Linked DNA regions of Struthio camelus. The protein of the gene in region 4 purifies or fractionates together with the protein of the main gene of each other region. This does not show direct contact. Links are inferred from orthologs where the notes say so. Each region holds a gene or a part of one and is shown on either strand. Other genes may lie near its edges.

The links.
Region 1: the proteins of CSNK2B (region 4) and GPATCH2L purify together in Homo sapiens (co-immunoprecipitation; 3 studies listed by BioGRID and IntAct, with this or other methods). This does not show direct contact. The link is inferred for Struthio camelus from reciprocal best matches to the Homo sapiens genes CSNK2B and GPATCH2L.
Region 2: the proteins of CSNK2B (region 4) and SUPT16H fractionate together in Homo sapiens (co-fractionation; 4 studies listed by BioGRID and IntAct, with this or other methods). This does not show direct contact. The link is inferred for Struthio camelus from reciprocal best matches to the Homo sapiens genes CSNK2B and SUPT16H.
Region 3: the proteins of CSNK2B (region 4) and GPATCH2 purify together in Homo sapiens (co-immunoprecipitation; 3 studies listed by BioGRID and IntAct, with this or other methods). This does not show direct contact. The link is inferred for Struthio camelus from reciprocal best matches to the Homo sapiens genes CSNK2B and GPATCH2.

The regions. Positions count from the first base shown.
Region 1 is NC_090946.1:58,363,736-58,370,900, forward strand, and holds the start of GPATCH2L (G patch domain-containing protein 2-like), read left to right. Parts: upstream 1-4,161; 5' UTR 4,162-4,245; intron 4,246-5,373; 5' UTR 5,374-5,385; coding exon 5,386-6,044; intron 6,045-7,165.
Region 2 is NC_090970.1:44,836-52,546, forward strand, and holds the start of SUPT16H (FACT complex subunit SPT16), read right to left. Parts: upstream 3,014-7,711; 5' UTR 2,850-3,013; coding exon 2,784-2,849; intron 918-2,783; coding exon 825-917; intron 725-824; coding exon 554-724; intron 467-553; coding exon 314-466; intron 230-313; coding exon 83-229; intron 1-82. Other genes in the region: CHD8 (chromodomain-helicase-DNA-binding protein 8), read right to left, coding at 3,768-4,202, 4,762-4,884, 4,972-5,151, 5,241-5,360, 5,786-6,007, 6,111-6,253. UniProt on the Homo sapiens protein: Component of the FACT complex, a general chromatin factor that acts to reorganize nucleosomes. The FACT complex is involved in multiple processes that require DNA as a template such as mRNA elongation, DNA replication and DNA repair.
Region 3 is NC_090944.1:116,592,374-116,599,682, forward strand, and holds the start of GPATCH2 (G patch domain-containing protein 2), read right to left. Parts: upstream 3,012-7,309; 5' UTR 2,834-3,011; coding exon 2,778-2,833; intron 1-2,777. Other genes in the region: SPATA17 (spermatogenesis-associated protein 17), read left to right, coding at 3,280-3,347. UniProt on the Homo sapiens protein: Enhances the ATPase activity of DHX15 in vitro.
Region 4 is NC_090977.1:8,397-15,248, forward strand, and holds CSNK2B (casein kinase II subunit beta), read right to left. Parts: upstream 3,013-6,852; 5' UTR 2,917-3,012; intron 2,441-2,916; exon of another isoform or gene 2,349-2,440; intron 2,289-2,348; exon of another isoform or gene 2,047-2,288; intron 1,966-2,046; exon of another isoform or gene 1,848-1,965; 5' UTR 1,837-1,847; coding exon 1,765-1,836; intron 1,671-1,764; coding exon 1,568-1,670; intron 1,125-1,567; coding exon 1,009-1,124; intron 934-1,008; coding exon 858-933; intron 724-857; coding exon 534-723; intron 444-533; coding exon 353-443; 3' UTR 135-352; downstream 1-134. Other genes in the region: GPANK1 (G patch domain and ankyrin repeat-containing protein 1), read left to right, coding at 4,122-4,735, 4,813-5,260; NFKBIL1 (NF-kappa-B inhibitor-like protein 1), read left to right, coding at 6,121-6,148, 6,252-6,488, 6,714-6,852. UniProt on the Homo sapiens protein: Regulatory subunit of casein kinase II/CK2.

The DNA.
Region 1 (7,165 bases), on a different chromosome or scaffold from region 4:
AGAGCATTTGCTTGGGTCATGCAACAACCCCTTCGCTCTTCCTGTCCTATCAGGCCGTACCTTTCTCTGTACTCACTGGAGAATGAGCTGGGCAAAGACACAGTAATGACTTGGCTAGTAGGATCCAGTGGAGCTTCTTCCCCTGCTCACCCTGGAAATGTCCCTAACAAGTAGCATCCCCTCTCCCCTGTCCAGTTCCAGCAACAGTTCAGCTAAAGGGGGTAGGTGCTGGCAACCTCAGCAATGCTGCCTCCAGCAGGAAAAAAAAACGGTATGTACAAAGGTCAGTAAAGGGTAACAATCCAGTCAGGGTAAGAGTGCTGAACATTTGGTATCCCCAGAGCACTTCACAAGCAAAATCAGCGCTGAGAAGATGGGTCAGCTCCTGTTGTCCGCACAGGGAAACTGAGCTACGCAGAGAGATTAAATGAAGCTGAACACAGACAAGGACTGAAAACTTACAGTCACAGCCCCACTTCAGAAGTGACCTTGTAAGACAGGACAGAAATAGCACGAGCTGCCCAAAAAACAGATGACCCCCAACTGCCTCTATTGTATTTCTCCATTTTCTATTCCCGATTGTTTGATTTTCCCCTGTACACATAAACGCTCTGCTTCTGCACCCTTTTAGTTCTTATGTCCCTTCCAAATTGCCAAAGCAGCTTCTAGTACCATCATTCCTCTGTCTGAAAATCAACCCCTTGTCCCAATCTGCTTTCTTTACTCAGGCAAAACACTGCTGACGTCTGTTGAAATTTGGTTTGAAAGAGTGAACATGGTAAAAATTGGCCAGATTAAGTAAAATTTATACCAGTTGCAAAACAGTTTGTTGACCAACAGAACAGTGAATTATTTGTGGAAAATTACTAGTGGTGAATTATTTGGAAAAAAAGAATGAAAAACAAGAGAAATTAGAGTGGGTTGCTGTCTCCCCAGGACATATGAACATAGGAAGTCTTTTACACAATTGTTTATCTAATTTGTTATCCTACCTAGAACTGTAGCCAGTATGAAGTGCTTGACATAAAGGTATAAGAAGCTCTGAGGTAGATGTTTACAGAATAACCTTCCCATCAGGGAAGTTTCTCTCTAAATGAGACATTTTGTAGCTGTTTTATATCCTGAAGCATGAAAAAGGATTGCAGCAGGAAAACAAGATTGGATTTTTGAAGGGATTGGCTCTCAGATCTGAGAGCAAAAAGAAACCACCTATTTTGGAAATAGGAACCTGACAGGGAAAACAAAATACTACAGTCTAGCAGAGTGAGCTACTGCCATAGAAAGGGTCAAAAAGACAAAAGGAAGAAAATTTACAGATGAATCAGTGCAGTCAAAGTAACTTAACTGAAGGCAGCAACTGGGGATGGGATAAAAATGATCCACCTAATGACTGGTTTTTTTAATATTACTTTTCTAAGTTAGTTTCTCAGAGAACTAAAAAGTAATGAAAACATTAAAGTGACAGCTCAAAACGAAATATAGGACTACTTAGAGAAACTGCATGTAGAGAACTCAGTGAAGCTATATGATGATTGTCCTATATGGGTATAGGAAGCAACTACAAATTCAAGGACTTTCTTATGGCTATTTTTGACACATCATGACAAACTAGGGAGGGTGCCAGAGGACTAAGGAAAAGCAAGTGCGGTACGAGTCTTGGGGGTGGGAGTGGAGGGAGCAGGGAGGAGGTAGTGATCTTGGCAATTATCACCCTTTCTGAATAACTTCTGTTTCTGGTGACATAATGGAATAAACAGCGGTGGGAAAAATGTAAAAATGCAAAGGATAATAGATCTATGAGCAATACGGAACAGTGTAGATTTACAAAGAACAAATCATGTCAGACAAACCTGATTACTTTCTCTGATTGAATTTACAAAATTAGTGGATGAAGAGAATGCCATGAACATAATATATCTGGACTCCAGCAAAGCATGTGTTACGCTGCCTCATAAAATGTAACTTGAAAAATGAACCAATATTGGCTTGAATATGAATGCTGCCACATGGATTTAAAAAAAAATGAAATACAAGAAACAGAAGGGAATGCTAAGCAAAACTGGACTGTGGGGTCATGCTTGGCTCTACTCTGATGACTGCTGGTGATCTGTAAAATGGGAGAGATTACAGGAATATGCTATAACAGTAAAAATGAGAGAGTTACAAATCTTAAGAAGGACAAGGGAGTAATACAAAGAGGTTTATCTTAGGAAATAACAAAACTATGTTTTGATATACACAGTAGAAACGTGAGCAGTGAAACGGAGGAGTGCTGGTGTCTCGTTTACTACTTGCCTACATCTTATAATTAAAAACAAAACAAAACAATATCAAGCAATAAAAGAGTAAGCAGATGGCAAGAGCTGTGAACACACAGCTTCTATTAGCAGCTAATGATCTGTAGAGACATGACCTGGGACTCCAACAATAGGACCTAGGAAAGCACAAATCTTCAGAAAATCAATAAGAAACATCAGGCCTTCAATGGTGGAGATGTTACTTTCATTCGAAAGCAGGCCAGAGGTCAGATAAGCTAGTCACTGATATTTCCATAAATAAGAACTTCATGAACCAACCTGTGGTGACTGATAATATACACCCACTAAATCAAGGAACACCTCAAGATTAGAGACAGAGCCAGGCACCAGGAGGTAGAGGCCGATTACTGCCTAGCTGCAGAAAAGACCTTACACACACAGCCACATTTCTGCTGACAACTTCTAAAGGTCAGGCCAGGACATGGAGCAGTCACCGAGATGAAATATTAGAATAAGTATTTGCTCCTCATCTAGGAAAAGCCACGGCCATCGTTTCACATGATACTACAACCACGCTGCTTGACAGCTCTACATCCAGACATAGCAGGTACCCTGTACATGGGAGTGGCTGGGCACTATCCGTGGCAGGGGTATGCCGTAAAGCTGAGGCTGTTTGGCCCAGCTGTAGACCCAGCCTTGCCCCCATCTGCTCTGCCCCTCTGATGGGCTCACCGCACTGTTTTTGCGACCACATAGTGAACCAGGCCAGGGAACTGATCTGGCTGAAAAGGACCATGCTTCTACAGGGTTTTTCTTTCTTTCTTTTGTTTTTTTTTTTTTTTCTCTGCTTTTCCAGTTCCCTGAGCTGGTTCATCATGCAGCTGGAGAAGCTCTTCCAGCTGCACAAGGATTGGCACTGGTTGCAGGAATGAAGAGAAACTGGGAGAGAGGGGTGCCTAAATGTATCTCCCGCCATTTTACATGACACGAGGTACTCCACTTGGCCTCCAGATGCTGCTCCAGAAAGATGCAGGTCTCCCATAGGTCCTGCCATATCTGCCTGCTCTAAGAAAGGATGTCTTGGGTACCCTCTAAAACGGTGCTGCGTTTAGGCACCTGATTTCCACTCCCGTTGAACATTAGACCATCCTTGACCTGGTTCATCACGGAGTCTAAGCCCAGGTGACTAGTGAGTGATGCAAGCCACTTACTACCCAGAACCGTCAGATGCAGGTTCCCTCTACAGTCCCTGTTTGGGTCTTCCGAGTTGCCTTTGGTGCAGTCTGCGCACTGGCTGTGCAGGAAGCCAGGATCCCACCAGTGCAGTTTGAATTGCTCTTCAGACGAGGCCGAGGCCCTGACCGCTACCTGAGTGTGGCCCGTTCCCTCTACTGTGGCATTCCTGCTGCAAAGAGGGAGGGAAATCATTTGACTAAGTGCTCTGATGCTCTTTGGAAAAAGACTCAAGCGATGAAGTTTAAGAAAGATTAGGCTGAATATGACAAAGCGCTTGTACGGATGAGACCTATCTGAGAACGTCACATCTGTCCGCAGTGGCCTGGTGGCGGTCACTGCTCAGGAGAAGGAAGCCCCCGAGATGCACCACTGCTGCAGAAGTACAGAGCGGTTCCCCCGGTGCGTTCATGACCGAGCTTCCCAAGGCAGGAGACGGGGCCGCGCAGGTGAGGCCCTAAACCCTGCCCCCGGCAGACGCCTCCCGCCAGCCACCCCGGAGCGCCGCCACGGGCAGCGGCCGACTGCGGCGGCGGCTCTGCCGGCGCCGCCTCACGGCGCGGCCCCTGCGGCCGCGGCCAGCACCAAACCCCGCGGCCGGGCCCGCACCCAGCCGCGGGGACGCCGCCGCCGCGGTAACGGCCGAGCCCGGCGCGGCCCCGCCCTCCGCGGGGCGGGAGCGGCGGAAGTCGCGCGGCGAGGCCGGAAGTGCCGCCGCGAAGGGCTGGCGCAGCGGCGGGGCGGCCGCGGGCAGGTGAGTGGCGGCGGGCGGCCGGGCCCCGGGCGGGCGGCGGCGGCGGCTGGGGCGGCGGCGGCGGGGGGGCTGGCCGGCCGGCCGCGGCCCCGCGGAGGGCGGAGGGCCGGGTCAAGCCCGGCGCGGGGGCGCGGGGCCGGCGCGGGGCCTGGCGGGCCGCGTCACGTCACGTCACGGTGCCGGCTGGGCGGCGGGACGCTCGCTTGCAGCATCGCCTTAGCCGGTGCCCCGGCTGCCGGCGGTGGGCGCCGGCGCGTTGCAGGCCGGCCCGCAGCGCCGTGTGAGGGCTGGGGGATGCCGGCCGCTGCGCTGGGAAGCAGCGGCTCCTCCCGGGAGGAGAGCGGCGTCTGGGTCCCGGACCTTCCTCAGGCTGAGAGAGCGAGGGCTGCTGTGGAGCAGGGGGTCCAGAAGTTAAGCGGAGAAGCCTTAAATTGCGGGAGAAATCGCACATGTGCAACACATAAACGGGGAGATGACAGTTATTGTGAGATGGGGAATTCGGGCAGGACTTTATGTTGGGCTCACTAAGAGTTCTGAGGCGGAGCGCGTTGGCTGTTTTGCCAGGAGGATTTGGGGGTTGGTCTTACATCTTTTGAGCTCTGTGTTTCTTAGAATAGACTTTCAAGTATCTTATTTTGCTATTTAATTGATACTGACTCACAAACTACCTGTTTTACATTCCATTTTACTCTGAGTTTTAGTGCCTTTGGAAGTCTTCAGTCTGTTTGCTGAGCAGACTAACCCTTCTGTGTGGCTTATAGCAACTAACATAATTAGATCGGGTAGCAAACTAGCTGTAGGCTCTCATACTCTTAAGATGTAATACAGTTTGTTGCTTTGAAGCAAAAGATGCGATCTTAAGGCCTTTTCAGGCACAGAGCACTTGGGTAAAATGTTGCAGTGGCGACACCTCTGCTGCTGTGGTTAGAAGGGGGATTTAACTCTGATGGAAGGAAGGAGCAAGCAATAGCCCAAGAAATGGCAGTTGTCCCGCATTACTTCTCGCAGGCAACTCCAAAGTAAGGGTGTACTTTGGTTCATGTCACAAAGGCTATAGCGTGCTGTAGTTTAGTGATGCGTTGGTAGCAGCATTCATGTCTGGTGCTAATTGTTCATTGTCATTTTTAGTAGACATTGCCAATGGATGAGCTGGTGCACGACTTGGCCTCGGCCTTAGAGCAGACTTCAGAACAAAACAAGCTGGATGAACTATGGGAAGAGATGGCCCTAAGCCCGCGGCAGCAGCGGCGTCAGCTTCGCAAGAGACGGGGTCGTAAGCGGCGCTCGGACTTCACACATCAGGCAGAGCATGCCTGCTGCTACAGTGAGGCCTCAGAGTCAAGCTTGGATGAAGCAATGAAGGATTGCCGTGAGGTGCTGACAGCCAACTTCAGTGACTCTGATGACGTGGCAGTGGTCAAACGACACCCAGCTCTCAGTGCCACCTTGAGGAGCAAGCAGCACTCGTGGCACGAGTCGGACTCCTTCACAGAGAACGCACCGTGTCGACCGCTTCGGCGCCGCCGGAAGGTGAAACGTGTGACCTCAGAGGTGGCTGCCAGTCTCCAGCAAAAGCTGAGGGTGTCAGAGTGGAACTATGAGAGGGGCTGCAGGTTCAAGTCAGCCAAGAAACAGCGTCTTTCACGCTGGAAGGAAAATGCCCCTTGGACATCATCTGGTCATGGCCTTTGTGAATCAGGAGAAAACAGGCCCTTCCTCAGCAAAGGGGGAAGGAAAGAGCAGATGGAATGTGAAGCTGATGAACAGAAACAGGGCTCAGATGAAAACATGTCCGAATGGTGAGAACTCACTTTCTTCCCTGTACTCAAGTCGGATGGCTACTTTGCTTGTAGCTGCTTGCAATCCTGTGCCTTATTCTAAAAGCTCTTATCAAAATTGTTCAGTGCTGTTCTCTTTCTGAAGAGGGGAAATCCCTCAGCTCCTTCTATGCTGTAGTTTTTTTTCCAGCGGTCTTTCCTGTCAGTGCAGTACTGATGACCCAAAACATACATTCTTTCAAGAATTGGCAAGCTGATCTGTCTCTGACCCCTGTTATACAAGCAGCCCTCTGAAAAGTCTGTGGCTCTGCTGCTACAAAGTGACAGGCTTGTGACCTGACCTTTGGCAAGTAAATATGCAGCTGGCAGTTGTGTTGTGTGATCAATTTGAACTGATCTCAGTTTCTTGTTTTCAGAGTTTACCCATAATAGTAATAGAGAACAGGTCAGATCCGCCATCATGACTGCTAGCCCTCTGTGCAAGTACTGTATGAACCTCAATCAAAACATTTTGTTTGCAGTTCTGAATCTCTGCTCTGAATCTGGAATACTGCAAGGCTAGTCCTGCAAGGCTAGCTACAGGGAGGGTGTAGTGAGAGGATAAAGAAGTTGGGAGAAATTGACTTACAGTATAGGTCTGCACACACAGGGGGATCTTGCATGTCTTTGTATTCAGGCTTTGACGAATTTGTGGCAGAATCTCATACAAGAGATGAAAACTGGAAATGCAGATGCCATGGTCTAAACTCGTTTGTATATCACTCTTGAGAAGTTTCCCTCTCGAGTGTGATCTTTATCCTCTCTATAGTAGGTTTGGGGCTATAAAACCACTTCTGTAAGAAGAGATTTTTCAGGCTAGAAAAGAAACAACTGCTGAGGGGCAAATGGAAAAGGTTTCTTAATGAGTGGCCTGCAGAAAGCAAATAGGGATGTTCTGTGCATAGTTACTGTGAGTAGTTATCATGTAAGAAATGGGAGATATTCAGGAAACATTTAAAACAAGAAGTGTTTTATTTTTCATAAAGCACAAATTTTGGAACTCTGCCATGGGGCGTTTTGGAGGACTAAAATGTGCCCAAAAGGGGGATGTGGAGGACAGATTTATCAGAGACTGTTAGGCGTTACAGATCAAATAGAAGAAC
Region 2 (7,711 bases), on a different chromosome or scaffold from region 4:
AACGCCCCGGCGCCAACCGCGTCTCCCTCGGATCCCCCCCAACCGGCTCGAGCCCGGGTTCCTCCCCTCTCCCTCCTCCGACCTCGTCGGCGTCCACGATCTCCATGACCCGCTCCTTGAAGAACTTGTTGAAGACCTCGGAGGTGATGGCGGCCGCCTTGCGCATGAGGTTCAGCTCCCCGTCCTCCTTGACGGCGATGGTGTAAGCCACCACGGCGCTGATGTCCACCTGCGGGGCGACGGGCAGCGGCGTGAGCGCGTTTCCCCCGTTCCCCTCCCCGTCCCCCTTCCCGTCCTCGCCGCCGCCACTCGCCTTCTCGAAGCCCTCCTTGCTCAAGCAGTCGTTCCAGCTCTTCATGAACTCCCCGGGGAACTTATCCTTGCTGAAGACGCCGATGCGCTTGCCGTTCTTGCTGGCCTTGAGCGCCTCGATCATCTTCTCGAAGTTGGCTTTGTTGCTCTCGTTCTGCGCCGGGAGGAGGAGGAAGAGGAGGAGGAGGAGGTCAGGGGTGAGGCGGGCGGGAGGGAGGAGGGAGACGGGGCGCCGGCTCACCTTCTCCCGCACCAGCAGCGTGATGGTGGGCAGGCCGTTGGCGTTCTCGTTGCCCTTGCTGTTGGCCACCTGCTTGAGGAACTCCACCTTCTTCTTGCTGGCCATGAAGAGGATCTTGTCCTCGCAGAACACCATGATGGTGTCCGTCAGCTCGTAGCCGAACAGCCAGGTCTGCCGGGGGCGAAGTCAGCGGCGGGGGGGGACCCTCTCCCCAGCTCCCCGGACCCCTCCCCGGCTCCCCGGACCCCCCCCCCTTGGCTCCCCGGCTCACCTGCAGGGCGGTGGACTTGGCGTAGACGATCTCCTCGTCCACCCCCACCGAGACCACGATGGCGTCGACGTTGGCGTACTCGTCCTCCCCCCTCTGCGGGGTGGAAATTTTGGGGGGGGCGGGAGAGGAGGGGGCGCGTGCGTCGGTGGCCCCCCCCCCCCCCAATCCCGGCTCTACACCTCCCCCAAATAGACCAACTCCCCCCCCCGGCCTAGTTATGTGCCCCCCACTGGAGACCTCCTTCACCACCCCCTCCCCAAATCGCTTCTCTGACCCCCCCCAGCCCTATATACCCCCCCAAAACAGCCCCAGACCCAGTCGCTGCCCCCTTCCACCCCTCATATCTCCAAAACAGCCCCACGCTGCCCCCACAACCACCCCAGATCCCCCCCAGACCCAGTTACTCTCCCCTCCCCTCCCCAAACACCCCCCTGCTCCCCCCCAACTACCCTAGACCACCCGCCTAGACCCCCAAATTCAGTTACTCCCCCCCTCCCCTCCCCAAACAGCCCCACACTCCCCCCCAACGACCCCAGACCCCCCCCCAGACCCCTAGGTCCAGTTACTCTCCCCCTTCCACCTCCCCTACTCCTCTCTCCCCCAAAACAACCCCACATTCCCCCCCCAACAGCCCCAGCCCCCCCCCCCAAACTCCCAGACGCAACTGTTCCGCCCTTCCACCTCTCTACCCCCCCAAAACAGCCCCACGCTCCCCTCTAAGACCCCCACCCCCCCCGACCCCCAGGTCTGGTCACTCCCCCCCTTCCCCCTCCCAAAACAGCCCCACGCTCCCCCCCTCAACGACCCCAGACCCCCCCAAACTCCCAGACCCAATTGTTCTGCCCTTCCACCTCTCTACCCCCCCAAAACAGCCTCAGGCTCCCCCCTAAGACCCCCAACCCCCCCCCAGACCCCCAGGTCCAGTTACTCCCCCCTTCTACCTCCCCTACTCTTCCCCCTCCCAAAACAGCCCCACACTGCCCCTCAACAGCCCTAGATCCCCCCCAGACTCCCACATCCAGTTACTCCCCCCTTCCACCTCCCCTATTCCTCTCCCCCCACCCAAATCAGCCCCACACTCCCCCAACACCCCCAAAACTCCCCCTAGACCCCCAGGTCTGGTCACTTTCCCCCCTTCCTGCTCCCAAAACTGCCCCCACTCCCCCAACACCCCCAAAACCTCCCCTAGACCCCCAGGTCTGGCCACTTTCCCCCCTTCCCCCTCCCAAAACAGCCCCATGCCCCCCAACACCCCCAAAACTCCCCCTAGACCCCCAGGTCTGGCCACTGTCCCCCCCTTCCCTCTCCCAAAACAGCCCCACGCTCCCCCAACACCCCCAAAACCTCCCCTAGACCCCCAGGTCTGGCCACTTTCCCCCCTTCCCCCTCCCAAAACAGCCCCATGCCCCCCAACACCCCCAAAACTCCCCCTAGACCCCCAGGTCTGGTCACTTTCCCCCCTTCCTGCTCCCAAAACTGCCCCCACTCCCCCAACACCCCCAAAACTCCCCCTAGACCCCCAGGTCTGGCCACTTTCCCCCCTTCCCCCTCCCAAAACAGCCCCATGCCCCCCAACACCCCCAAAACTCCCCCTAGACCCCCAGGTCTGGCCACTGTCCCCCCCTTCCCTCTCCCAAAACAGCCCCATGCTCCCCCAACACCCCCAAAACCTCCCCTAGACCCCCAGGTCTGGTCACTCTCCTCCCTTCCCCCCAGTAAAACAGCCCTAAGGTCCCCCCCAACCCCCCGGGTCCGCTCCCCCCCCCCGGTCCCTCCCCCCCGAGCCCAATGACCCCCCCACCCCCCCCAAATAGCCCCAAATCCCTCCCCCAGCCCGGTAACGCCCCCCCCAACCCCCAGACCCGCTTCCCCCGGGCCCCGTGACCCCCCCACGGGCCATGTGACCCCCCCCCACGGGCCCCGTGACCCCCCCCCAAACCCCCGGCGCGGGGGCGGCACCTGCCAGTTGCCATAGAGACGCTTGACGCGGCGGTAGTAGGCCTCGCGGTCCAGGCTCAGCGCCATGGGGGCGGCTCGGGCTCGTCGGCCGGGCTGGAGGCCGCCGGTGCCGGTGCCGGTGCCGGTGCCGGTGCCGCCGCCTCCCGCCCTTCACCCCGGAAGAGCTTCGCCCCCCGCCGCCTCCGCCGTCGCCGCCGCCGCCACCACCAGGACGACGGGAGCGAGCGCGCGCGCGCTTCCGCTTCCGGTGCCGCGACCCCCCTTCGCCCCGCCCCTCCCTCCTTGGGCGCATGCGCACGCGCGGCGTTTCCCCCCGCCCCCTCCCTCCCAGGAGCCGCGCGCGGAGGGGGCAAGGGGGCGGGGGCGCGCGCTGCGCATGCGCGAGGGCGGGAAAAGTGGCGAGGACGGGGCGGGGCCGGGCGTCGCGCATGCGCGAGGGCGGGAAAAGCGGCGAGGAGGGGGCGGGGCCGGGCGCCGCGCATGCGCGTAGGCGAGGGCGGGAAACCTCGCAGCGTCGCCCGACGCCCCTTCTCCTCAGAGGGCGACGGGCGACCCCCCCCCCCCCCCGGCGGCCGCCCTCATCCATCCCCTTCCCTTCCCCCAAGCAAAAAACAAATTAAAAAAAAAAAAAGCCTTTTCCAGCCCGTTTTTATCCCTTTTTATTAGAAAAAGAAAAAGACTCCAACTACGGGGAAGCTTCTACCCCAAAAGCCTGGCCCTCAAACCAACCCACCCCCCTCCTCCCCCAACCGCCGCCCTCCCCCTCAGCCGCCGCCATCACCGACCCCCCCCTCCGCCCGTGCCCCCCCCAACCCCCCCCAAACCCCCCTCTCCCCGCCGTATGACACAAGACATTTTACATATTTATATAAATATAGCGCCCGCGGCGCGGTTTTGGGGGGGGGTAGAGGTGGGGGCGAGAGGAGACGAGTCTTTTTTTCGGGGAGGGGGGGCGCGGGGAGGGAGGGCAGGGGGAGAGGGCGCTCACTCGGCCTCGTTGGCCCCGTCGCTGGAGTCCGAGTTGGCCGGCATCATGGGGTCGTCGAGCAGGGAGAAATCCCGCTCGGAGCTGGCATAGCCCTGAGACAAGTCGTCCATCTCGTCCTCCTCCTCCTCGTCGTCGTCGTCGTCCTCCTCCTCCTCCTCGTCCTCCTCCTCCTCCTCGTCGTGGCGCGGAGGGCCCAGGGCGAAGGCGGCGGGGTGCAGCAGGGCGGCCGAGGACGAGGCGGCGTAGGGCAGGGCGGAGGAGGCGGGAGCCGGGCCGGGGGCGAAAGGGCCGTGCAGCCCCCCCAGCAAACCCGGCCCCGCCGGCCCCATCAGCGACACCATCTTGGAGAGGTCCACGCCGGCCCGCCGGCCCCGCGCCTTGGGGCTGCCCTCCGGCAGCAGCCGGCTCATCACGGGGTCCGGCAGGAAGCCCTGGCGAGGGGCGACAGTGAAATACCGTCTGGTTTGGCCAGTAGGAGGGATGTCCTCCACAACAGTGGAGAGTTGTCCTCCGTGGTCATGGAGGGATGGCCTCCATAATGGTGGAGGGATGTCCCCCATGATCATGGAAGGATGTGCTCCACGATGGTGGAGGGATGTCCTCCATAATGGTGGAGGGATGTCCTCCACAATCATGGAAGTATGTCCTCCACATCAGTGGAAGGATGTCCTCCATAATGGTGGAGAGATGTCCTCCATAATGGTGGAGAGATGTCCTCCACAATCATGGAAGTATGTCCTCCACGACAGTGGAGGGATCTCCCCCATGGTCATAGAAGGATGTCCTCCACGACAGTGGAGAGATCTCCCCCGTGAGCGTGGAGGGATGTCCTCCACGACACAGAGCTTCCCCCTTCCCACCCACCCACCCGCATATTTGGGGACTTGGTGGAGATGGAAACCCCAAACGGCCCCAGAGGGATGTCCAGCTCCCCAGATGACCACGCGGGGAGGTGGGCAGGGAGGACGTCGTCCTGGGGGGCTACCTCACCTTCTTGCTGTTGGCTTCGCCGGGCACCGTCCCTCGCTCCAGCCCGGGCAGGCAGCCGGCCTCCACGGCGCCTGGTTTTTTGCAGCGGTGCCACTTGTGCTGCTTGCGCCGATCCTCCATGTACTGGGGAAGAGAAATTTGGGAAAGGTGAGAAAGCGGCTCGGCGGAGGCCGGAAAACGGGCTGCCTGCCCCCAGAGGACGACGCTCACCGCCAGGAAACGGGGGTCCACGGCGAAGTCGGGGTGAGCCTGCAGCCAGCTCTCCAGGTCGGCGCGGCGGGGGGCCGCGTCGCCCACCAGCAGCGTGCCGTCGGCCTTGTGCACCACGGGGATGCGGGCCTCCAGGTCGATGTCGGGGCCCCGCAGCCCCTCCAGGCACTGCAGCTCCAGCTGGGCACAAGAGACCGCCGTCAGAGAGGCGGCTCCCGAAAAGCAAGGGGGACCGGCCGCGAGGGACCGCGCTGCCTCGTCCCGCTCACCTCCACCAGCTTCTTGCTGTTCTTCTTGTGGCCGGGCGGGTGCAAGTGCTGGTAGCGGTCCCGCAGGGCGCCATTGGGCACCAGCCGGTGTTTCTGAAACGTCAGCTTGATGCCTTCCTCCTGGGGCGGCGCGGGGAGATGGCGGCGGCGTTACGGAGGACGTCCTTCCACCGCCAAGGAGGACGCCTCTCCGTGATCGTGGAGGACGTCCTTCCACCGCCAAGGAGGACATCTCTCCACCATCGTGGAGGACGTCCTTCCAGTGCCAAGGAGGACATCTCTCCACCATCGTGGAGGACGTCCTTCCACGATTGTGCATGGCCACCTCTCCATGATCGTGGAGGACGTCCTTCCACCACCAAGGAGGACATCTCTCCACCATCGTGGAGGACGTCTTTGCACGACTGTGGAGGACACCTCTCCACCATCGTGGAAGACGTCCTTCCACGATTGTGCATGGCCACCTCTCCATGATCGTGGAGGACGTCCTTCCACGCTCACGGGGGACATCCCAGGGCGGAGGAGACCCTCCGGCGGCTACTCACGTCTTTGATCTGCACCGTGAACTCCTTCTCCTCGGGGCTGTGCCGCAGGCGGGTGTAAGGGGCCGGCGGCTCCTCCTGGGCGGCCGCGTAGTCACCCGCCAGCCGGGTCCCGCCGTCCCCCTGGCCGCCGCCGGCGGGCTCGGGGCCGCGTTGGGCCGCCGGCCACTTGCCCGACAGCACGGCCTGGCACACCAGGTCGATGCGGTGGATGAGAGCCCGGTCCTGCGCGGACGGGGCAGCGGACGGGAGGGCGGCGGTTAGCATGGAGCAGGAGGGGGCGGAAAACGGGCCGCGCGCCGTTGCCCCCTCTCCGGCGGCGTCTCACCTTGGGCCACTCGCGGAGGTGCGGCTGCTCCGGCGGCAGCCCCGGGGCCGGCGGCTGCGGCGAGTCGCCCTCCCGGGAGGTGGGCAGCGACAGCAGCGACTCCTCTTCCTCGAAGAGCTTCGCCCCGCCGGCCGCGTCCGGCCCTGGGGGGAGCGGGCAGGCGAGGGGTGGAGGAGGTCAGGACGCCCCGGGCAGTCGGGGAGGAGACGATCGTCCCGGGGGGCGTCGGGCAGGGGGGTGGCAGAAAGCCAGCGGGAAGGGACGCCGGAGTGCGGGGAAGGGACACTGGGGTGCGGGGAAGGGACACCGGGATGCAGGAAAGGGATGTCAGGATGCAGCAGCGCCGGGAAGGCACGCTGGGATGCAGGAAAGGACGTCAGGACGCACCGGGAAGGGATGCAGGAGTGCCGGGAAGGGATGCAGGAGCACGAGGAAGGGATGCAGGAGCATGAGGAAGGGATGTCGGGAAGCAGAAAGGGACATCAGGATGCAGGAAGGGATGCAGGAGCGCCGGGAAGGGACGCCGGGATGAGGAAAGGGATGGTGGGATGCAGGAAGGGACGCAGTAGTGCCAGGAAGGGATGCAGGAGCGCCGGGAAGGGATGTTGGGATGCAGAAAGTGATGGTGGGATGCAGGGAAGGGATGCAGAACCGCTGGGAAGGGACACTGGGATGCAAAGAAGGGATACTGGGATGCAGGAAGGGACGCCGGGAGGCAGGAGCACCGGGAAGGGATGCAGGAGCACTGGGAAGGGATGCAGAAGCACCGGGAAGGCGCGCTGGGATGCAGGGAAGCGATGCAGGAGCACAGGAAAGGGATGTCGGGAAGCAGAAAGGGATGTCAGGATGCAAGAAGGGACGCTGGGATGCAGGGAAGGGACGCCGGGATGCAGGAAGGGACGCCGGGATGCAGGGAAGGGATGCAGGAGCACCAGGAAGGGATGCAGGAGCACCAGGAAGGGACAGTGGGATGCAGAAAGGGACGCCGGGATGCAGAGAAGGGACGCCGGGATGCAGAGAAGGGATGCAGGAGCACCAGGAAGGGATGCAGGAGCATCGGGAAGGGACGCTGGGATGCAGGGAAGGGACGCCGGGATGCAGGAAGGGACGCCGGGATGCAGGGAAGGGATGCAGGAGCACCAGGAAGGGATGCAGGAGCACCGGGAAGGGATGCAGGAGCACCGGGAAGGGACAGTGGGATGCAGAAAGGGACGCCGGGATGCAGAGAAGGGACGCCGGGATGCAGAGAAGGGATGCAGGAGCACCGGGAAGGGACGCCGGGATGCAGGGAAGGGATGCAGGAGCACCGGGAAGGGACGCCGGGATGCAGGAAGGGACGCCGGGATGCAGGGAAGGGACGCCGGGATGCAGGGAAGGGACGCCGGGATGCAGGGAAGGGATGCAGGAGCACCGGGAAGGGATGCAGGAGCATCGGGAAGGGACGCCAGGATGCAGGAAGGGATGCCGGGATGCAGGGAAGGGATGCAGGAGCACCGGGAAGGGACGCCGGGATGCAGGAAGGGACGCCGGGATGCAGGAAGGGACGCCGGGATGCAGGGAAGGGATGCAGGAGCACCGGGAAGGGATGCAGGAGCATCGGG
Region 3 (7,309 bases), on a different chromosome or scaffold from region 4:
TGTAATAAGTACATCTGACTTTTCTAAAATTGCTGACTATCTAAGAAAGCACAACAATACAGTATATCCAATTCAAAATTTCAAACAACATTCTCCAGTAATATTTAGCAGAGGAAAAAAACCCACATCAGTACAGAGCAACATACACAGTCAGAAAGATGCTGACATGAACTGCATTTAACAAGGCTCTAATGCAAATGAATTGGTCAGCCAGAAATGAGATTTGGAGCCATTTATCATGAGAGGTGGCAATTCTTACAATCCCATTGCTGCCATTTACTGATATGCTTGCCCTTTTCAGAAGTCAACTTCATTAATTAATTGTCAAGGTGGAGAATCACATGAACTGTCAAATGATGGCAGCATCAAAGTCATTATCAGAAGAATCAGCGTGCTCAGGACGTATCCAAAATGCAATCTATTTCTAAGTTGTCATATGTACTCATAAAGGAAAAACATTCAGCTTCAGAGGAGCTTTAACACCCAAAATAAAAAATTTCATTCTGCGGAAGATCAGAATCTACCAACTTCTTTACGGTCTTAATGTTTTTAGGGAGCTAAAATCCTTGAGTTTCTAAATCAAGCATTACACCTTGAAAGAATATTTTCCTTTGTTTCTTTAATACCACATTTCTCTCAAAAGGATCTCTCTTAAAGGACAGCTTCTGAAATAACTCCTGTATAAGGACAAGAAAAGACAGCGGCTCCAATGAGTAGTCAGAGATTTAACAGACCTTCATAGCTGTTAAACTAATATTCCAATAGATAATAAGATTTCAGTTATTTTCTCTGTACTGAATTCCTCTGGGCTGCGTATTTGGACAAACAAAACCATTAATATCTGATGACAGATAGAGAAAAACATCAAGTTTCCATCTTTTGTGTTGCTGAAAAGTTTTTAAAACCACTGGAACTAAATTATTTTACGTGAGCACAAAACAATAAAATTTAAAGACAAATGACAGGTCAGGTCTACAATGAAAACTTTGAGTCTCAGAGTACAGATATACCTTAGGCATGTCTTAGGCAGTGGTGTTCTTACTGCATGCACACTAGTACTGAGATAAAAGACTTCTGCCAGTACAGCATACATCATTCTCTGAAAGTGCTATGAACTATACCAGCAAAAGTAAAGTTATATTTATGCAAGGCAAATTCACATGCCTAGCAAAACTATCAAACTTTTTCTAAAACATATATTGCATGTTGGGAAATACAACTCTTCTAAGAAGGCTCTTTAATTAACAAAAATGTAAGAAAGCCATGAAAACACCCACAGGAAAAAGAAGTGGTGGTAGTAGTACAAGTGGGGAAGGAAAGGAGTTTACTATTTAAGAAAGCTGAACGCTAAGCTTTTCCTCCTCCCTCTTCTTCTTCATCCACAGAAGAGGAAAGCAGATTTAAGATCCGGGTTCCCACCTGCAAGTGCCTGTATACATAATACAATGAGATCTCAGACTTCTTGCTCAGCAGTTACGGCTATAACTTTTACCATTAACATAAAAAAGCCTCCCCGTAACCATTAATAAAAATGAAATTCACTAGAAGTTATCAATTGGAATACACAACACTTCAACTAACGCAAGCTTTCATAATATACATAGAATAATCTCAGGACCAGTTTTAACTGAGAAAGCTTTTCACAAGAATGATTTGAGGTTTACACTAACAATAAGATACGTAATTTTGAGAAGTTTCACTGTTTTTAATCTTTGGAGGCATATAATGGGGAAAAACAAAATAAAACACAGCATTCTTTTTATCACTACTTAGAAGGATAATATTTTGTGATATTTCTCTTCTATTTCATATGAAACATTCTCAATATTTTACACAGTGACCTGAAGTTTTCCAAACTATCAGCTTCTTTTAAGAAAGTTAACATACTGTTTACATTTGGAAGCCACAAGACACTTAACATTTCATGAAGAAAACGGAAGGCTTCCCTGTTGCCTGCTTAGGCCATCTTGCTTTCATCAACAATCGCTCCGCTACCAGTCTTTCTACCTCCATCTCTATGGCCTGCTAACAAAACTTGCTTTTCCCTCTTCTGTGCATATGCATTCCTCCCATCTTTCCTCTTTCAGTTGCTCGATTTCTCCTTTCCTCAATCCCATAAGAAAAATAATACGCTATTTAGAATCATTATGCTAATATCTGGAATTACATAAAACAGTAAATTACACTGTACTAGAACTATGTATATGTTTCTTGCTCACAGGTTATAACCACACTTGTTGATTCTTGTTTCAGACAAAATATAGTAACTTCAGAAAAACAACTGCACCTTACTGCCTGTTTCTGCAGCATACATCACAAAGGATGTAGCCCTTCAGGGTCAACAATTAAAAAAATTAATAACTACGTTTGTGATGAGTTTTTGTTTTTCTGCAAACAGGATAGGTTTCTTCTCCCACCCCACTGCTCGCTTATAGGCACAAGGGAACCTTCGAGACGTGCAAGTGGCACTTGCCAGGCCTCGCAGCCCTCCTCCCCCGAGGCCTTTGGCGGAGAGATAAGCACCGCGCGGGCCGGGGCAGGCCAGGCCACCCGCTGCCCGCCGGGGTGCTGTGAGGGCCGGGGGAAACACTTGTCCGCAAGTTTTTAAGCCTCGCACCTGGCACGGAGATGAGCTCCCTCAGAGGCAGCGGGCTCCCCCCCCACCCCCCGCCCCAGACACCGTCCCTTCCCCCGCGCCCTGCGGCAGAGACACCCCCCCCCCTCCCCGCGGGCGGCCCCGCTCTCGCCCCGCCGCCTCCGGCCCGGCCCGGCCTCACCAGCTCTTTCTCGCCGCCTGAGCTCGGGTCGGGTTAGGCTCAGCCACCCGGAACATGAACCCGGCGCCTCCCCCGGCCGCTCCCCGGGGAGGCTGGCGCCGCTTCGCAGAGACTGGGGCAAGCGGAGACGGGGCGAGGGGCGCCGCGGCTGAGGCTGGCGGGCGAGGGCCGGGCGGGGAGGCTGCGGGCGGCCGGGGCTGCTCCTCACTCCCCCATGATGAGAGCCCGGAAGCAGCTGCGGCACCGGCAGGAAACCGGGCGCCACCATCGCGCCTTCTCCCCTCCCGCTCCGGCCCGCTGCCCGCGGGCGGCGCGCCCCGGCCCGCCTGCCGCCGCGGCCCCGCTGCCGCCCGCAGCCCTGCTCCGCGCGGTTCCCGCTGCCGCCTGCGCCCTCCTTGCTCTGCCGGCGGGACGGCGGGAGGAACGGCCACCCCCGCGCCCGCGCGGAGTGGTACGGCCCCGTTGCCATGGTGGCGGCGTCGTGAGGGAGGCGGAGGGAAGCATGGCCACCTTGGCCAGGCTTCAGGCGAGGCTGCCGGCCCTGCGCGAGGAGTGTTTCCGTCGGAACAGGTAACGGGGGCGGCGCGGGGGGCCGCGGCCAGACGCACCTCCTCGGGCTGGGCTGGGGCGCTGCTCGCCCCTCGCTGCCGCAGCCCCGGGGCTCCCTCCGTTAACGAGATGGCGGCACTCCTCCGCCCTCCCCGGCGGGCGGCGCGGCGCGCTCCCTGCGCCTCGCCGTGCGCTCGCTGCGCTGCGCTGCCGGACGCCGGGGCCGCGCGCGCGCCCAACCGCCGCGGGCTGCGCGTGCCCAACTGCCTTCCCGCGGTCGGGCGTGGCCGCCATCCCGTGAGCCCCCCAGCCCACCGCCAGGGAGGTCTGAGGAAGCACCGGCGTATCGGGGCAGGTCTTTTTAGGGAGTGTGTTTATACCCCGAAAAAATTACCGACCTTCCCCTCCCCAACCTCCGGCTAATCTTGAGCGGAAATTAGCCTCCTGAAACTCAACGTTTAGCTGCTGAAACTTCTGAGTGTTTTATGCAGTGCCTTTCTTGATTTGCCTCTCCCTTGTTTATCTTAAACAGAACTGAGTTTGATGTTATCGCTACAGTGATATAACTCTTTTATCAAGGGTACTTACACAGTATAAATCCCTACTCAATATCCATAAACTATGAACACCTCCTCTTGTGGCTCAAATTTCTATGTTACTGGAGATTTAGTTTATCCTGTCAAATGATAGCACTTTCTAACTAAGCGACAGAATCCTCCGGCCTCAAAGTGAGTTGATGTTTGTCCACACTGTTAAAAACAGATATATTTCTAAATTAGATTATGCAGCTTGGGATAAGTTTTGTCTTTTTGTACTAAATTAAAGAGATACTTCTTCTACTAAAGATCTGAAACGTCCTGTACTACAGAATGGCAAACTGTGATCAAATCACCTGTTACCATTCTCTTGACTAAGTGGGACTGTTTTGCTGCTTATTTCTTTATAAGGTGGTGGTGGAGGCCGACTTTTCACAGATCATATTTTAAGAAATCAAAGCTTTGACACATACTTTTCATAGGTTTCTACTGAAAACCCTTTTATACAAATATATTGTTGCAGTTACTAAATATGTAACGTTAATATCCAAACAGATTAATGTTTAGAATAGTTATAGCTTTTTTCTTTACTGTTCATTGACTCAATCATTTTAGAAACCAGTTACAACATCATTAGTATAAATAACAAAGCTCTCTAACGTTGCTAAAAGTTACACAGAGTTCAAGTCTTGCCTGTGTATGAAGCATCGTGTTTTCTTGTTCTTTCCCTGAACTATAGCTTGTCCTCTTGTGGATGTACACGCAGCAGTTCACTAAGTGAGCATCAGTTACAACAGATTATACTTGTATTTTGCATGTTTCGGGTTAGAAAGAGCAGGCTGAGCCAAACATGGAAATTCATTGGAGGGCAGCACGCTTGATGTTTCGGGATCTGTTTTTTGGCACAGCTTTCTAAAAATGAATTGGTTCCTTTTTAAGAACAGGCTATAATCCATCAGCTTCTTGAAATCCACAGACCTTCAGCTGAGAATTTAATTGAGAGCCTTCAAACGCTCCAGTTCAGCCACTGAACAGCTGATCTGTAATCTGATCTTTGGTCTTTAGGGCGAGAATTTTGGACTTCAATGAAGTAGTCAGTAAAATCTTGAAACAAATCAGAATGTCTTTTTCAGTGCTTTTAATACATCCTTATTTAACTTTTAAATTAACAAATTAACTTTTGGCATTGAAGTGTGTTTACATCTACCTTAATCTAAATCATCGAAAGGTACAGCAGAATATAGATTACCAAGTATTTGTCTTATTTATATGAGTTGTCTTGGTTGCAAATAAAGTTGCTTTGTTGCAGGGGTAGAACCTGAAGGATTTACTTCCATGTGTGTCAAGCACGTTTTAAGAAAAAATAAAAATATTTCTTTCTTCACCTGTCTGTCAAGAACTAAATACAGAGCTGTGTAGAACATCGAGAACGTGCAGAGCGTCTAACACAGCCTGACATAAGCAGACCCTTGTGGAAAAGAAGTACTTTGGCTAATACTTACTGTTGCAGGAGGAACAGTGCCTTGAATTAAGTCCTCAAATTAGAAAACTAACTTTCTTTATCTTTCAAAATGCATTTGCTATTTTGGGACTTTACATCTATTCTATTAAGGATTAGGGCAGGTTGATGACTGCAATATCCTGCCTGTTGGTTGTGGTTAGATGGGTGATCAGTTTACCAATTTTTTTCAGATCTTAGTAATGTTCCTGACATTCTTTATGCAGAACTCCATTTATATCTGAGGTACAGGGGCTCCTAAAACCAGGATGTCTTTTTAGGAGAAGTGTCTTTTTAGGAAAGGACTTACCCAATGACAGCCCCATGGAAATACCTTGAGAAATACCCGCTTAGGATAAGCATTAAAATGTAGAGGATCTGTGTAACACTTAAAATTTGAGAATGCACTGACAAGTTTATAACTTATTCTTTCAATAGCTTACTTTTATATGCTTTAACATCTGTAGGTCAGATATTGACTTTGAGCGTGCGTAGGTAACATTCAGTAAAGTCTTTGAGAAGCGTTTGTGACTATATAAAAGCTTGATTCAAACTGTGTGGCAACTATGCAGTCTGATCAGAATGGCAGATATCAGTTTGAGCAACCTAAACCCCAAACCACTCCATTTGCTAGCATTGTTAGTTGAAAGTATTTGTGGAACTATAGTGTAAGAAAAACAAGTCTGTTGGTCTGCTCAAGTGAACTTTGTAGGGACTTGTAAACTGACTCAGCTAGGCAAGACAACAGTCCGACTAGACAACTAACATGGAGTAATAGAGGAGAGGGTTTCTGCCCTTCCAGAAGCAGACTATTGTCATTGGCCATTGCCAAGTAGGTAGGATTGGTTTTGGAGCTGACATCTCGACCTAGGCCAGTCCCATGTGTCGTTCGCTTCCAGGCTGTAATTGTGACTGCCCAGCCAGGCCCAAACAGCTCATACATTTTACATCAAACTCATTTCCCTTGGGGTAAAGTTTTCTGGAGGTGTCTAGACTGTAAAGTCTAGGAAGCTATCCAAGAAAGGAACAAGAGAGCTCTTTACTATAAATGGCTGCTTTGGTATTGACTTGTTTTGTGGTCTTAGTAAAAGGATGGTTTGTTTTCTGCAGTTTCCAGATATTGTAATGGGTCTGATGCACATAATGTGACAATGAAAATCTATGTTCATGTTCATGTCCATGTAATGTGATGTGAGAGCACATGCTGCAATAGCAGATACAAAATGAATGGAGCTAATGTCCCTTTAGGAAAGAGACATTAAAGTAGTAAATCAGTAATGAGGATAATATTCAGTTATCAGATATAAATGACTCTTGTTAGGGTTCACCAAGGCAACTAATGTTGACATGATACTTAGATAGTTAGAAAGCTAACCAGTATTAATCTAATTGTTATTCTGTGAGAGGTGTGACAAAGTAAACTATTTGGTAAAATGTTCCAAATAAAAATGTGACAGATTTAAAAATGTGTAAAAATCCATGAAAATTACAATATAATTTTAACTTCATCAGCTTGACAGTTCTTGACATTTTATTATGAAAAAAACATAAATAAAAGCTAGACGTGATCTTGTGGCTAGATTCCACCCCTCAGCATTGAAACTGATCATAGCCATGATTTCTTCCTGAACACTCTGAAAACTGTCTTTTAGATTCTTATTTTTCTTTAGGTGTCTTTTTACTTTGTCCCAGTTACAGTTCTCCTAGTAGAAGAATTCACAGAAAAAAGAAAGGGGAGGACTATCTCTGGGAATTATTTTCAGAATTTCTGATGGGGACTTTTCACTTGTGCTTCTTTCCCCACCTGTGCACCTGCCATTTGCCTGTACTACTGTATTTAACACAAAGCTTTGACAGCTAGTGCTTCTCTAAGATCTGCTTGAAGTCATCAGTTCTCCACCTATGTCTATCGTGTATCTTCAGCTGCTGCACTGGTATCTCTTTCTAGA
Region 4 (6,852 bases):
ATCCAGGCCGGGCGCGCCGGGGCCTGCAGCCACCCCTCCCTCCCTCCCGCCGCCGCCTCGGGGTCGCTCTCACGACAACAAGCAACTGGGCGGGTTTTCGCGAAGGCGGAACAAAAAACCACCTCGCTCGTGGCCCGGTTTTCTGAACTTCTTTCTTTTTGTAATTGAACTCTGAGAAAAATCAACCAAAAACAGATTAATTTAAACAGTACGTAGGACTGGGAAGGGGCCTCAGCCCTGCCCCGAGGGACCAGACCCAAAAAACGCGACGGAAAAAGAAAGGAAAAACAAGGCAGCAGCGGCCCCTTGCTGCGGGGGGAGAGGAGGGACCCAGGTGTCCGGGGCGGCGGGCTCAGCGGATGGTTTTCACGGGGCTCTTGAAGTTGCTGGCGGCCTGGAGCTGCAGCTGGTACGCCATGGGGTGGATCTTGAAACCGTACAGCCTGGAAGAAGAAAAAAAAGCATCGGGACAGCGCTGGGCTGTCAGTAGGCCCCAGAGTGAACGCTGCGGAGAAAAAGGGGCCGGGGCTCACCTGGGCACGAACTGGTTGGCGGGCCGCTTGGGCCGGTACTCGGGGTGCACCATGAAGAGCATGTGGGGGAAGCCGGTGCCGAAGTAGGCGCCGTCGGTGTGGTGGTGCCGGGAGGACTTGGGCGTGTAGACGTCCATGCACTTGGGGCAGTAGAGCTTCACCATCGCCTCCCCGGGGATGTCCGAGAGACCTGCGCGCGGCCGGCTCAGCGGGGCCCAGGCGTCCGGGCCCCTCCGCGCCTCCCACCCTCCCTTCCCCGGCACCCGCCGAGCCAGGCGTCCGGGCCCCCGCTCCAGGGCCCAGGCGTCCGGGCCCCGCCCCTACCGATGGGCAGCATGGGCTGGTTCTCGCAGTAGACGCGGGGGCAGTAGCCGAAGTCGCCCTGCTGGTACTTCTCGAGCTGGGGGGGGGAGCGAGAGGGGCGGTGAGGGGGGCGCGGGGGGGGCGCCCGGCCCCGGGGCGGCGCAGCACCCACCATCTGGGCGATGCCGCGGTTGGTGAGGATGTAGCGCGCGTGGATGAGGCCGTAGAGCATCTCGGCCGCCTGCTCGATGAGGTCGCTCTGGTTGGGGTTGTCCTCCAGCTCCTCGTCTGCGCGGGCGGGTCAGCGGGGACCCAGGCGTCCGGCCCCCCCCCCCCCCCCGCCAGCCCCCCTCGGGGGGCGCCGACCCCCCCCGAGACCCCTCAAAGGCTCCGAGCCCAACCCAGGACCGCCGAACCCCCTCGCGATCCCTTCTTGACCTCCACGGCCCCCCCAGGGCCCCCCAATGCCCCAGGAGCCCCCCTAACTCCCCTAGAACCCCGACCCCCTCGGGACCTCCCTGTGCCCCCCCACATCTCCCTGGTCCCCCCCCAGCTCCCCCCGAGATCCCCCAAGCCCCCTATGACCTCTCCAAGGACCCCCCCAGCTCCCTGCAGCTCCCCTAGGACCCACCAAGGACCCTCAACCCCCGCTCCGGGCCCTCTCAAGCCCCGTAGGGACCCTCGCAGCCCCCCCAGGGGCCCCACGGGGCCCCCCCGCAGCCCCCCAGCACCTGGCTCCAGGTCGAGGATCATGTCGAGCGCCTGGCGATAGTGCGGCACCTGCTCATTGAGCCCCGTCAGGTTGAACTTGTCCTGGATGTAGTCCTCGTCCACCTGGGGCAGGAGAGGCGGCGTGAGGACCCAGGCGTCCGGGCACCCCCCGGCCCCCCCCCAAGGGGACCCAGGCGTCCGGGCGGCCCCCGCTCACCTCGCAGAAGAACTCGTTGCCTCGGAGGCCGCAGAACCAGGAGATCCAGGAAACCTCCTCGGAGCTGCTCATGGTCCCGGAGTCTGGGGGAGGCGGGCGGTGAGGCCGGGATGACCCCCGCCAGGGGCCCAGGCGTCCGAGACCCCTTCACCGCCCCCACTCAAGGGCCCAGGCGTCCGAGACCCCTTCACCCCCCCCCCACTCAAGGGCCCAGGCATCCGAGACCTCTTCACCACCCCCACTCAAGGGCCCAGGCGTCCCGGGGCCCTTCACCCCCCCCACTCAAGGGCCCAGGCGTCCGAGACCCCTTCACCACCCCCCCCACTCAAGGGCCCAGGCGTCCCGGGGCCCTTCACCACCCCCCCACTCAAGGGCCCAGGCGTCCGAGACCCCTTCACCCCCCCCCACTCAAGGGCCCAGGTGTCCGGGGGCCCCTTCACCCCCCCCCATTCAAGGGCCCAGGTGTCCGGGGCCCGGCCCTCCCTCACTTAGGGGCTCCCCTTCACCCCAGCCCCCCAGGACCCAGACGTCCGGGCCCCCCTCGGCCCCGCCCCCCCGGGGGCCCAGGCGTCCGGGCCCCTCACCGCGGCTCTCAGGGGGCGAACAAGGGGCCGCGCAGCGCCAACCCTCCCCGCAGCAAGGCCGCCCTGCGCCGCGCCGTCCCGCGCATGCGCCGCCGCGGGGGCCGCCGGGAACTGGAGTCCGCGCCGCCGCGGGAGCCGCCTCCCCCCCCTCCGCCGGCCAATCGCGAGCCGCCTCCCGCCTACAGCTCCCGGCGGCCCCCGCGCGGAAGGGAGTGGGGTGGGAGGGCGCCCCCACCACGTGACGCGGCGGAGGGAGTGCGGCTGCGCGACCCGCGGCCGGGGCCGGTCACGTGGGGCGGCGCGAGGTACGGCGGGAGTTGTAGTCCCGCGGCACCGCCTCCTCCATAGGGGTGAATGGCGCGGGGGGGGCTGAGAACTACAACCGCGAGGGGGCCGTTATACCCCCCCCGGCTCCGCGAGAGGAGGCGGGGCCTGCGCTAGAGTGGGCGTGGCTTATCCCACTACCGGGGAAAGGGGTGTTTCTGCGGGGGAGCGGCCTTAACCCCCCCGAGGGGGGGGGTCCCTCGTTACCATGGCCACGGGGCGGGGGGCGGGGCCTCGCACTCACCGCCCCGCGCTGCCGTCGTTGCAGCCCAGCGCGGCCCCGGCGGCGCCGCGCGGGGGCTTCTGGGGGACGCGACAACGGCCGCCGGGCGGCGCGCGCATGCGCGGGGGGGTGGCGGTCCGCCAGTGGCCGACGCGCATGCGCGCGCTCCCTCCGCCTCGCCCGCCGTAGCGGTGCGCCTGCGCGCCCCCCCTCCCCCGCGGCTGCGCCTGCGCGCCGGAGCGCGGCGCCCTGGCGCTCTGCTCCGCCGTCTCTATGGTGAGTTGGGGGGCTGGAGGGGTGCGGCCTGCCCGCGGGGACCTGCCCCACCGCTGCCGCCTCGGGATCACCCCCCCAGGGCCGGGGCCTGCCCCACCGACCCCCTCCCCCCGGGTCTGGGCCTGCCCCACCGACCCCCTCCCCCCGGGTCTGGGCCTGCCCCACCGACCCCCCCCCCGGGTCTGGGCCTGCCCCACCGACCCCCCCCGGGGTCTGGACCTGCCCCACCGACCCCCCCCCAAGTCTGGACCTGCCCCACCGACCCCCCCCCGGGGTCTGGACCTGCCCCACCGACCCCCCTCCCAAGTCTGGACCTGCCCCACCGACCCCCCCCCCGGGTCTGGGCCTGCCCCACCGACCCCCCCCGGGGTCTGGACCTGCCCCACCGACCCCCCCCCAAGTCTGGACCTGCCCCACCGACCCCCCCCCGGGTCTGGACCTGCCCCACCGACCCCCCCCGGGGTCTGGACCTGCCCCACCGACCCCCCCCCAAGTCTGGACCTGCCCCACCGACCCCCCCCCGGGTCTGGACCTGCCCCACCGACCCCCCCCCGGGTCTGGACCTGCCCCACCGACCCCCCCCCAAGTCTGGACCTGCCCCACCGACCCCCCCCCGGGGTCTGGACCTGCCCCACCGACCCCCCTCCCAAGTCTGGACCTGCCCCACCGACCCCCCCCCCCGGGTCTGGACCTGCCCCACCGACCCCCCCCCCAAGTCTGGACCTGCCCCACCGACCCCCTCCAGGGCTCTTCCCCCCTCCCCAGGATCTGCCCCACATCCCTAGGCCTGAACCTTCCTTGGGCACCTGCCCCCCCCCCCCAGCCCCAACCCTCCTTCTCTAGGGCTGTTCCCCTGCCAGGGCCCTGCCCCACATCCCCCCCTTCCCCCACTGCCGCCCTGACCCGGCCTCTCCCCCCACCTCAGCCCTGAGCCGCCGCCGGGCGCCGCCATGGCCCAGCTCATCGCCTTCACCCGGGCCCGGGACGAGACCGACTGCTGGAAGGACGGACACCTCCAGCGGCGCCCGGCCGCCCCCGCCGAGCCCGGCAGCCAGGCCGGCGACGAGGCCCGGCGCTTCTACGAGAGCCTCCTGGCCGGGGAGGACGGGGCCGGCCCCGCCGCGCCGCCTGTGCCCCCCGCCGCGCCGCCTGCGACCCCCTCCGAGCCGCCTGTGCCGCCCGCCGAGCCGCCCCCGGCCCCCTCCGAGCCGCCCCGGGCCCGCCGCAAGCCCCCCGCGGCCCCGTCGGGCCCCACCGACACTCGCCGGGGCAACGCGCTGCTGAAGGCGGCTCAGGACGGCGACCTGGGCACCCTGCGGCGGCTGCTGGAGAAGGAGGGCTGCGACGTCAACTACCGGGACGGCTTCGCCTGGACGGCGCTGATGTGCGCGGCCCGCGCGGGGCGAGCGGCCGCCGTGCGCTACCTGCTGCGCCGCGGGGCCGCCCGAACGGGTTTCCGCGAGGCCGGGGGCCGCGACGCCGCCGGGCTGGCCGAGGACGCTGGCCACCGCGGGCTGGCGCGGCTGCTGCGCGAGTGGCGGCCGGAGCCCGAGGAGGCGCCGCGGTGAGTCGGTGCCCGGGCGGCGGCGGGGCGCAGCGGGCGCCCGCGGCCCTGCCTGACGCCTCCTCTCCCCGCCGCAGGCCGGCCCCGGCGGAGCGGCGCTTCTGCGGCGTCTGCGGGACGCACTACGCCGAGGAGAGCGCGGCGCAGCACGAGCGCTCCACCGCCCACCTCCTCAGCCGGGGCGACCCCCCGCCGCCCGCCCGCTACCACATCCCCGAGACCAACGTCGGCTTCCGGCTCCTCGTCAAGGGCGGCTGGGACGGCCGCGCCGGGCTGGGCCCCGCCGGCGACGGGCGCCGCTTCCCCGTCCAGACCCTGCTCAAGCGCGACCACAGAGGCCTGGGCTGCCCCAGCGACCTCCGGCCCCGCGTCACCCACTTCGAGGCCCGCGACGCCGCCGCCGTGGCCGAGCCGCCGAAGCCGAGGGCCGAGCGGGCCGGGGCGGCGGGGAAGCGCCAGGCCCAGCGCCGGGAGGCCGCCGCCCGGGCCTGGGAGCGCGACCTCCGCGCCTACATGGGCCGCTGAGCGCCGGCGGCCCCGGCCGCCGGGGCTCGCCCCAGCCCCCCTCGCGCTGGCGGCAAAATCGGGGCGGAAACCCAGCTTTCGCGTGCTGGGCGACGCGGTTGGCGCTGCCCAGGACTCTGGAGCCGCTCGCTGCGGTGCCGCCGGTGAGTCCGACCTGCCGGGGCGCGGCGTAACCCCACGGACCCCGTTCCTGCCCTTGACCCCCATTCGCGTCACTGATCCCTGCTGACCGCTTTGGTCCCCATTGATCCCGCGCGAGTCTTTCGTCCCCGTTCGCACCCTCGATCTGCTTCTGCCCCTATTCAGCGCTTTGGTCCCCATCGATCCCCATTCACGCTGTCGGTCCCTATCGACCCCCATTCATGCTGTCGGTCCCCGTCGATCCCCGTTCATGTCGTTGATTGCTGTTTGCTCCGTTGGTTTCTACTGATTCCCATTCACAGCATCAATCCCCACCGATCCCCATTCACGTCGTTGATCCCCGTTGATTCCCCTTCAGCTCATTGATCCCCATTCGCCCCATTGATTCCCACTGATTCCCCTTCCCCCATTGATCCCCATTTGCCCCATTGATCCCCACTGATTCCCCTTCACCTCATTGATCCCCCTTCGCCCCATTGATCCCCACTGATTCCCCTTCCCCCATTGATCCCTATTCGTGCCGTGCAGCCTCGTTCACCCCGGTGATCCCCACTGGTGCCCTCATTGGTCCCCTCGTTGCCCCCTTTGGGCCCCGTTGGCCCCTGTCACCCCCGCGCGGGTCCCTCCACGCCGCCCCCCCCCCCCGCCAGCGCCGCCGCTTCCGCCCTCCCCTGTCGCCACTTCCGCCCCCTGCGGGGCCGCTTCCGCCCGGGGCCGCCATGGGCTCCCACCGGCGGCGGCACCGCGGTGAGCCCCTCCCCTCCCCCCCGGAGGGCCCAGGCATCCGGGGCCCCTCCCCCCGGGCCCTGGGGACCCAGGCGTCCGGGTGACCTTTCCCCTTTGTCCCCAGGCGACCAGGAGCCCCCCGCGCCCCCGCGGTGCCGCTGCCCGGAGCCGGAGGTGCCGGGGGGCAGGACAAGGCGGGGGGTCGGGGGGTGGGGGAGCCCCACGGCTGCCCCACGGCTGCCCCACGGCTGCTCCGGCCGCCCCCAGGCCGCCCCGGAGCCCCCCAGCCCGGACGGCGGCTGGCGCCAGCGGCTGCTGCAGGAGTGGGAGGACGAGTGCGGCGAGCCCCAGTGCTACCGAGGTACGGCTGCCCCACGGCGGGCCCGCACGCAGCCCCACGCCCTGCCCCTCGGCAGCCCCGTGGCAACCCCGCGCGCTCCCTCAGCCGGGAAGCCGCCATCTCCGTTCTCGCCGCCCCAAGGAGCTCCCCTTGCCTGCAGCGGGGCTGCCGGGGGGTGCTCCCTGCCCCACAGAGCCCCGCGCCGTGGGGCTGCCTGCCTCAGCCCTCCCCTCTCCCCCCGCGCAGAGGACTTCGCCGCGCCGGAGCCGGAGCCCTACGATGCCTGGGCCGACCGCATCGCGGAGGAGCACCGCCGCAAGCGGAGCCGCCAGGGCAGCCTCGATGCCGCCAGGGGCCCCCCGAAACCGCCGCCCGGCCCCTCGCA